Drosophila melanogaster: one gene and its partner. The gene in region 1 interacts genetically with each later gene. Each region holds a gene or a part of one and is shown on either strand. Other genes may lie near its edges. The genes, in order: bol and twe.

Region 1 (5,070 bases):
TTGGTCCACTACCCAAGTCAGAAAATGGTAACGAGTACGCAGTCACTCTCATATGTGATTTAACCAAGTACTTAGTTGCCATACCAATAGCAAATAAAAGCGCAAAAACAGTCGCAAAAGCTATATTTGAATCTTTTATTCTAAAGTACGGTCCAATGAAGACGTTCATAACGGACATGGGAACAGAGTATAAGAATTCAATAATTACTGACCTGTGTAAATATTTGAAAATAAAAAATATAACATCAACAGCTCATCACCACCAGACAGTTGGAGTAGTAGAAAGAAGTCATAGAACTTTAAACGAGTATATACGATCCTACATATCGACGGACAAAACCGATTGGGACGTATGGCTTCAATATTTCGTATACTGCTTCAACACGACCCAATCTATGGTACATAATTATTGTCCATATGAATTAGTTTTCGGTAGAACAAGTAATTTACCAAAACATTTTAATAAACTACATAGCATAGAACCAATATATAACATAGATGATTACGCTAAGGAGAGTAAATATAGGTTAGAGGTAGCATATGCTCGAGCAAGAAAACTTCTTGAAGCACACAAAGAAAAAAATAAAGAAAATTATGACTTAAAAATAAAAGACATAGAATTAGAAGTAGGAGATAAAGTTTTACTAAGAAATGAGGTAGGTCATAAATTAGACTTTAAATATACGGGGCCCTATAAGATAGAAAGCATAGGAGATAATAACAATATTACGCTACTTACTAATAAAAACAAAAAACAAATAGTTCATAAAGATAGATTAAAGAAATTTCATTCATGATTGAATTTAAACTTATATTTTCCTTAATCATTTATACAAATTTTCCATACACTACGTATATTTTTATCTTTGCATTATAAAATCAACTATTGTTGTTCAAACAAAAACACAAACAAAATAAAAATAAAAATAAAATAATTTGCATTTAATAATCAAAATAACTTCACTAGGTTACGTTATTTTTCAAAAGGAGGGAGATGTAGTATGTGCCTATGCAATATTAAGAACAATTAAATAAAATAGCATATTAACTTATGGCAGCACTTTGTTGCTATGTTTATGTTTATGCACGCAGTTAGGCCAGGGCGGATGTAACATGATCACCCACTCGAAGGCCACAAAGTATAAGTGCATTGCCCACTCGAAGGCAAAAAGTATAAGTGCATGGTCAGCATTCACACGCCGACCAAATACATATTACATACGTACATACATATCTCGCTCTCCCGATAAGCCTAGATATATAAGATATACATAAGAACGCCGCTCCGCTGCTGGCGTACCCGGCAGCGCAGCTACGCGGATTAGCCTAAGTCAAAATATATAAAAAACTGTAAAATCGGAGAGACTCTGTAGACGTTGAGCTGACAGAACCATTTCTGCCTACTCTAAAATCAAAAGAAGAAATTGAATAAATATATGTCAGCCCGACGGCTGCCTTCAACTTAAAACGGACTTGTGTTCTTAATTGGAGTTCATCATTACACGAGAGCAGTTGTAGAACTAAAATTGTTGTGCTATATCGCTAAACGGTGAACGGTAAATATTGAAGAGAGTTTTCCTGGCTTCAATTTTCCTTTGCAATCGCCCCCACCATCCTTGGAATTTTGGGTTTTTTGGAAGAGAAAAACACATGTGGTGTGTCGCCACAGTGTTTTGGTTTTTCTCGGCCGCCCAAGTAGACGGCGCGTAGTTTTTCATTTTGACGGGAGTTTTCCTTTCGGTCGTCGCCTTACACTCATTTCTAATTGTGATTCGTAGGAAGTAAGTTGTCTAGTGCTATATATATATATATTCAAGTAAAATTGTTTTAAATCGGAACACACAACAATAATATATACAAGTAAACACCACTAAATATCGGAAAAGAAAGAAGAGCAAATAATTAAATTACAAAAGAAACCAAGAGAATATCAAGCTAAATCCCATCATCCCATCATCCCATCGTTTTTGGTCTTCTGGTTCTTGTTCATCACCGACGTTATTGATATTGATATTGAATACTGGATATTAAGATACATATATACAAACGCATCGTATCTGGGATAAACGTTCATCACAAGGAATATTAATGATACGCAAAGGCTGTAACTGTAAACTGTGTCCCCTCTCACGTAAGACGTAACGTAAGGCAGCCTGTGGAAACGACGTAGTTTGGACGCAATCAGAAAAATCTCCAAGGAGGACGCAGCTAACGGTGAGTTTTCCTGATGACAGAACAGGGGATTGCTTTTGGGTGGGGGGAGGATGAATGTCACTCGCAGGGAAAATGAAAAATGCCAGGCGAAAATTCTTGGCCATGCAACTCGTTTGGCCGCTCTGCCTCTTTCGCTCCCGCGTACGCTTATGTGTGTGTTTATGCAGCGGAAAACGTGTATTCTTGAGAAAAACCAGAAAATCGAAACCCGGAATTGGGTCAGTATGTCACACGCCGTCCCGCTCCCACCGATTCCAATTCCGATTCCGATTCGAGCTGCTAGTCTGGCTAAAAACTCTGGCTAAAACGTGTTTCGTGCTTAGTCAATTTGTTCTTTTTCATCTAGTCGCAGCTGCGCTGCCGCAGTTGGCGTCGCTGCACGGCCACTTGACTAAAAGCGGCCTAAACAGCATCGCCTCCAGAATGCCTAAAAAACAAAACAACAACATGTAGTGCCGCTGCACGTGTGCGAAAGAGAGGGCGGCGAAAGGTGGGAAAAAGACAGAATGTCTGTCACCCGCGCGACCAACTTAAATACCCTGTACTTATGTGAGGGAATATTGTAGAACAGCTTATTAGTATAGATTCTACACAATAAAACCGTTTAATCATATCACGAAATATTGATAATTAGTACATACAAAACATATGTGGTTTTGTCAGCATAACAAATAATATTATAATAATATAAGGTCAATACATGAGATTTTTAGGCCCTAATATAATTTTCCTAGAGGCAGAACTGCTTTTTTATTTATTATTAATTGCTAGATTCTTTTATACAAAGATAGTTACTTTTTAACTTACACATGTATGTACATATGTATGTGAATGTACATATATGTATATGCTGAGTATCTCCTATTCGCCAGCTTATCTTTTGTGATGTAAAATGATAAATGGCTCGCTCTCCGACTTTCGTAGTTTTGCCTCTCTCTAGTTTTTCGGCCACTCGCTTCACTTGATCTTGCACTCGGATTTCGGCCGAGTTGCAGTCGACAGCGCTGTCAGCGTCGACGGCGACTGCGGCGGCGGCGCTTTTACCTTGAGCACGCCTGCACTTGTCACAGCCCCTCCCCCCGCCCACCGACTCACACGCCGTTTGAATTTGAACTTCTGAAAAAGCCAACACCTTTCGAAATTGTAGCCGCTTTTATTTCTTTTTCTTTTGCCTCCGAGCAGCGGCATTTTTATATTTCTGATGTTTGCTAATAAAATTATTACGACTTGGCCGACAGCGGCTGCTAATGCGTTTTAAGGTCGCCGACGCTGCTCTTGTTGATTTTGATCCAATAAAAAAATGTGATGATGCCCCGCTTAGATTTCTCGGTCCATTTAACATGTGTCCATTGGCCCAGGATCCGATTTGATTTATTTCAAAGTTATTTATTATACAGTCAGGCGAAAAGCAAAACAAACATGAATGGGGAAAATTGAAGGCAAATGGCAGACAGCTGGTGCTCATTTTCCGGGATGCGAAAAAGGGATAGAATTGGGATAGTGCACTGAGAAAAATCAGTGAAAGAGTTCATATCATATCATACTGCATATGTTTGCATCTCAAGAATCTCTTTGTATGAGTAGAGATCAAATGGATAAGGAAACAGCTTTCGTTCATGAGATGTCTATCTCTAAAAACTACTTATAGGTGGAAATTTATTCTAGACAAGGGTAGAGAGCACTGCAAATACGTATCCAAAAACAACTCCCCAGATAATTCATCATTACATCATAACCGTTGCGAATTCATGACTAATGGCCGATGATTTTTCTCTCTGTGGGGAATACGCGACGTCGTGGGATAGGGATAACAACACGGAAGAGGCTCCATTATAGGTTGCTGGTTTACTAGTTAACTGGGCTCCAGCCAAGGGAGCGAAAGGGAAAGGTGACGAACGAGAGGGAGAGAGCGAGAGAGCTAGGGGGAATCTGAATTACAGAGAGTGGGCGGGGGTGGTGACACTGACAGTGGAGCACCTTCGTCATCGTCAAACATTCGGGCTGTATAAGAGCAATAAATAATGCACACGAAGAGCAGTGATGAGAGCCAATGATATGGGAAAATATCGGACGAGAAATTCGACAGAGAGAGAGAGAGAGAGAGAAAGCGGAGAGAAATTTGGGGGGCGAGCGTAAGAGATTCGCCTTGGGGGGTTGATTGTGTTTAATTTTTGCACTTAAGAGCGCAAAAAGTGGCTTTGATTTTCCGCCGGCCCTTCTCACGCAGCTTGGGGCATGCCAACTTTGATGGCCGATTTGACCAACCCCCAGGAGGGAATTCCCAACTTGGCTCATTAAATTGATAACATTAAGCAGGCGATATTTAATTTGATTTTCTCCAGACACAAACACAATCTGATACACAAATTGTATAGATTCTATAAGTTATAGTTTTCTGAAGATTTAAACTTAAAACAAAATTACTGTACTGTTTTCATAGTGTAAAATACCTATGCTAATTTTAGTTTTCGTGGCACTTTTAAATATTATACATAAGCATGATAATTTGTCAAAGTTTCTTGTAGTGCATATATTTTTCGCAGAGAGCATCCACTCAAAAATATTTCCGTATTCTTGGCAACATTGTTGTTGGCGATGGGTTAGTGGGCGGAAAAGTGGGTGTTGCGTGGGCAGTCGCCCCACATTTGCATGTTCCCAACACGGCACACATTTTCTCGCTTCTCTGCGCCGCTCACGCGTCTCTCTCTCTCTCGCTCTCTCTTGCCATTTTTCTCGCTCTCTGGACGGATGCCCAAGTATATAGCCCAAAGTCCCAAATTGGGATAGGGATGCGAAGGCTATAGCGCTAACCTATATAATTTTTTGTGTTCCGCTTCTAACAACAAGCACATCCTC
Region 2 (5,261 bases), on another chromosome or scaffold:
GTTGTACCGCTCCATTTGCAGCCAGCTTAAAGGTGCGCGCAGCACTCGAGGAGCAGGCTTCGCTGGATCAGGATGGGCCAGCGACGCCTACAACTCCGGGTGAACTGAGTGCCGATGATGCCGCCGCTCTGTCTGGCGAATTTGAGGCCACCCTGACCAAGGAAAATCCGCTCGAGGAATACCGAACTCTAATGAAGCGCTTTGTTCTGACCAAAATCATCGTTCCGGACAGCGTTCACCAGGCCAGCGTGAAGAAGATAGCGGCAGCCGCCAGGGAGATAATCTGGAAGCTGCTCTTCGATGGCACACCCTCAGCGGAGGATCAAAACAAGGCCGCCGAGCTGCTGCAGGAGTACAAGGGTGATGCTGGTTTCTATGGGCCCGACGACTACAACAGTTGGATTTTCAATCTGAGGGATGAGGTTCTCACCAAAGAGCTTCTCGACTTTTGGCGCGACAAGATGGTGAAAATGGAACTTGGTCCCAGTTGCGCCCGCGATTCCGACTATTACGACAACGAGGATCCGCTGCCATTCGAGTTTTACGAAAAGGCTGGTTGCAAGGCTCCCTTTGAAGGACCTGTAAATGATGATTAGTAGTGCATCTTTCATGACTGAAGGATTGTTTCCTTATGTACTAAAACACCTATTCTGGTCGTAATCTCTGAAGGCACACACAGTAAAGCATTTCAATATCTGAATTATGTTTCGAAATGTTAGAAATTGTTTAAAAATGAATAAAATGATAAGTATTTTATAACTGTTCTCAAAAATAGTGGTCCTTTTTATTATCTCGATCAGTAACAAATTATTTGTTCTCTTCATATTTCTTCAATAGCTTAAAGCATTTAAAATTTTGTAATATATATAAACTATAATAGCATATAAATTAAGGAACATTTTTCTTCATTTGATTTAAAATTTGTATCACGAATTTTCTTGAAATATTTTATGAGTATTCTTACATCTCCTGTTCTAATTAAGCATTATGCATCCTAAAACTTTTAAATTGTGTATTAAATGATTGTTTTTAGATACTTTTAATAAAAGTTGACCGATGTAGGTGGAATCCACATAAATAGTTTCAGCATAGTTTGTATTCATACATAGACAATTTTCGTAATTTCCTTTGAAGTTCTTAAATCCAATGGTTAGATTATTATGCTTAAATACTAAAATAAAATATGAAATACTTTCTTAAGTTAACTTTTAAATTCCGAACACAAAAATGAACTTTAATTAATTTTGAAACTATTACATACACTGACTAGAGAACATATATCCATTTTCTGTTCTTCTTCCCATCTTTGGTGGTTCCCATTTGGGTGCTCTGTGTCCACACAACGTGGAACATAATACAAAATCAAGAACTAAATAAATATAAAGTGCTTTCACAACATTTGAACAACGCAACAAGAAATGAACCTTAAAATGTGCGTCCTTAAATATTACAAAATAATTCTATGAGTAAAATTGGGCAGCCATCGTTTCTCATTGAGATCTCTGTGAGCTTATGGCAGGTGGATCGATTCGAGAATTGTATCTATAGCCTGAAATGGTCACTCGGCGTAGAGCAGTCGTGAACGTGATTTCCGGAGGCCGCGAGAGCCTCCACCGCCGATTCCACTGTCTCCGCCCTCGCCACATTGCCAGGACTTGGTCTTGGCCCGAAAATATCGAAACTCATCATTGTGCGCCGGTGCCAGCATTGGTACATATTGGCTGGGCTGGCATAGCTGCGAGTATAGACCGAAGAACTCCTTGTACCCATTGTGCAGGATATAAAGTTCAGGATAGTCCAGTGCCGGATAGTTGTGGGTATGCTGACTTCTGTCGTTGCTCCGCAGGTAGCGCAATAGCTTGGGACCCCGTTCCGAGGAGAACTCACAGTGGAAGACGTAGATGCGTCGATTTTCCTGATTGGAGGTCAGCGTGGGAAACGCCTCCTGTATCTGCCCACGTGTGTACAAATTCTTCGCTCCCCGTATGTGTCCGCCAAGGAACTCGTATGGGTAACGGCAGTCTATGATCTCGTATCCGCCCTGGCTTCCCAATTGTTCATCAAACTCGCCCTGAATCAGTCTGGCCAATGTGTCACTGGAGATGGTCTTTAGATCACGATGTCTAATGCCTGTCGCCAAACAGGGCAGGGTACATGGCTTGCTGAGATCTCCGATTAACTCTGGTTCATCTCCCAGTGCTCTCATGATCTCGGCGTCGTTCATTGATAGAGTTTTCCGTTGCATCTTCTTCATGGGCATGTTGGTCTCCTGATCTGGTTCTTGAACCGCTTCCTCTGGCTGTTCACTGGGATACATGCTAAGGCAGCGACGCAGGGAGCCTTTTTTGTTGGACATCTCCTCTAAATTGCTTTCCGATTTCAGCTGTCCGCTGAGGAGCACTTCCAAGTCATCGGGCAACTCAAGATTGTGATTCTCGGCTGATTCCATTTCGAACATGTCCATGTACTCATCATCCAGCGAGTTGCCCGACTCGTAACTCGAGCAGGAGCTACTGAAACTGCCGAGTGTTCGCGAGGACAGGCTATTAAAGTTATTCAGGGTCCTGTTGGCTGGGATTCTCTGGGTGGACTTGGGAGTGCCATCCAGGCGGGCTCCATTCATATTCTGCGACAATTCGGTGATGGGCGACAGAACGGTGGTGCTGGCAGGAATATGCCGCTTCAGCATCCATTGCAGCGGAGTCTCCTGCACGGCTGATTTTCGCCTTTTGGCCTGGTATTCCATATCGGCATCATGGGGATCGAAATTCTCCTGACCACACGCTCCACTTTCATCATCTTCTTCCTCCACATCGAGCATTAGCCGCTTGCTCGCCATCTGCGCGTTAAAAAGAAAAAAAACAATGATTTTTTTATCAGCTGGAAGCTGCTAAAATCAGCTGGATTTTCGCAATTGTTCTTACCCTGATCTATTTGCGATATACGTAACTATTGGGAAGTTCAGATTTTGGGTTCCAGCGTGCGCAGTGATTTCGATTGCCAAATCCTTGACGATTTTCTTGTTCTGTCGACTTGTTTGTTTCGCTTTTGGCGGTCAACTTTATTGGCGCCTTTATCAATTCCCCATTCTACCGATGCAAACCCACCACCTGCTAACTCACCACTGCGCCGTATTTAAACAGGACGCTCTAGTTTGAATTTAAATTGCTTGTATATTTTTTTGTTGGTATTTGCATGGCTGGTTCAACTTTATTTGACAAAGAGCAATGAAATTGAATTTAAAAAGCGCAGCCATCTTAATGATAACGTGTTCTACCACCATAATATGCGATGAAATCAATATATTTTCAATCAATAAATTTGTACTTTAAATAGTTATAAGAAAAAGATACATAGAATAATCGTTAATGAGCGTAATAAAATAAAAACATTCCACAATTATAATTATGAATCATATCATTTTTCCAGTGGAAAATTTGACAAAAACATATTAACATTTATTACATCTGGTCACACTGTCCGTTTGTTTATATTTTTCGTGCTGCAGTTGTGTTATTGTTTTTAATACAAATATGCCGGAATTTGAGAACTTTAACGTAAAAACCACAATTGACTGCAAACAAGGTGCAGTGCGAGCTGTGCGCTATAATGGTGAATGGTTTTCAGTGCCCGATTTTTAAGCATTAACTCATCTTGATCCTTAATCTTTAGTTGATGGCACTTATTGCTTGAGTTGTGGATCTGACAAGAAGATAAAGCTGTGGAATCCGGCATCGGGATTACTGCTTAAGACTTATGGTGGTCATGCGGATGAAGTCACCGATGCGGCGGTATAGTTTTTTCTCACTTAGTATTATTCTTATTATTAAGTACTCCACTTTGGCATATTGCAGGGAAGCTGTGATAGTAGCTATATCGTTTCCGCCAGCTTGGATAAAAGCATTATCTACTGGGACGTGTCAACGGGTGAGTTGTAATCACAGCGCACCAATTATGGCTAATGTTTCTCTCGCCTATTTCAGGAGCACCAGTACGGCGCCTGCGTAGCCATGCCGGAGGTGTTAGATGCGTCTGCTTCAACGAGGACTCCTCGATAGCCATTTCCGGGGGTCGAGATAATGCCGTAATGTGCTGGGACATTCGAACGCGTCGCCTGGATCCCGTTCAGGTGATGAAGGAGGCCCGGGACTGCATCACCACGGTGGCAACCAACGAGAATCGCATCTACGCCGCCTCCTTGGACGGATGTGTGAGGACCTACGATATTCGGGTGGGCGAACTTACCTGCGACAAAATTGGTGAACCCATCACATATCTGGCGCAGACGCGCGACGAGCAATGTCTGGTGGCCGGCTGTCAGGATAGTGTGGTTCGTCTGCTGGACTGTGAGACCGGCGGATTACTCTCCGAGTACAGGGGACATCGCGGCGATGACTACCACATCGAGTGCGGAATACTGTCAAACGATGCCCAAATAGTCACGGGCTCCAGTGATGGAGACGCCTTTGTTTACGACCTGCTCGATGGGAAAGTACTGCAGCGCATTCGCATAAGTAAGCAAGTGAAGTTGAACTTTGATTATTAGCTATATACATATATTAACATGTGGGTTTCCTTTGTCATATATCCGTCAGGTGATAATGGCGGCGTCGTCCACTCCTTAGCCACTCATCCCAAGCGACAGGAAATGCTTTTCGCCAGACGACGGGACATGTATGTCTTCTCGACAGATTTGCAAATCGAAGAGGAGCAATTATAGGTACTCATAATGCTGTATAGTTTTACCAAAAGCTAGTGATATAAATAATATAGTTATAAAATATAAAGACTCCTTCAGGAGCCCACCTCATCAAAATACCCGCAAACATAAAAAATTGATTGTTTTGTTGAGGGAAAAAGGAAAAACCATTTATTTGACATAATTTTTTGTTTTCATAGAGCATGAATGTATGTAGTAATATGTGTTTGTTTTCGTATGATCTGGCTTATATATTCTTCACGATTCTTTTCCTTTAACTATGAACGGCCTGCATAATGTTTCCTTAATCAAATATTTCGAATGCGGACGAGCGGCGAGCAGGCGAGCAGGCGTGGTTGACACAATGTAGCTGCCTTGCATGCATTGGCTGTATCCTTCATCATTCTCATAGTCTCTCTCCTTGTGGGAAAATGCGGTACGCCTAGCCGCGGGGCAGCGCTGAGCGAAGAAGAGTTTCTTCAATTCAAATCCGGGTCTCAACAGTGGCGTCCGAGCAGGGACACTTGGTGTCCTAGCTGGCAGCTATGAGACGTGTTGAACA

The links.
Region 2: of bol (region 1) and twe, changing one suppresses a phenotype caused by changing the other (phenotypic suppression), as found in Drosophila melanogaster (one study listed by BioGRID).

What each region holds. Positions count from the first base shown.
Region 1 is NT_037436.4:9,127,041-9,132,110, reverse strand, and holds the start of bol (boule), read left to right. Parts: upstream 1-1,755; 5' UTR 1,756-2,214; intron 2,215-5,070. UniProt on the Drosophila melanogaster protein: RNA-binding protein that plays a central role in spermatogenesis. Required for meiotic entry and germline differentiation, at the transition between G2 and M phases of meiosis I.
Region 2 is NT_033779.5:16,258,667-16,263,927, forward strand, and holds twe (twine), read right to left. Parts: upstream 3,212-5,261; 5' UTR 2,925-3,211; intron 2,840-2,924; coding exon 1,559-2,839; 3' UTR 748-1,558; downstream 1-747. Other genes in the region: EndoGI (endonuclease G inhibitor), read left to right, coding at 1-596; CG4935 (uncharacterized protein), read left to right, coding at 3,534-3,612, 3,673-3,791, 3,855-3,927, 3,984-4,514, 4,596-4,720. UniProt on the Drosophila melanogaster protein: Required during meiosis. Regulates the transition from the extended G2 phase to the onset of the first meiotic division.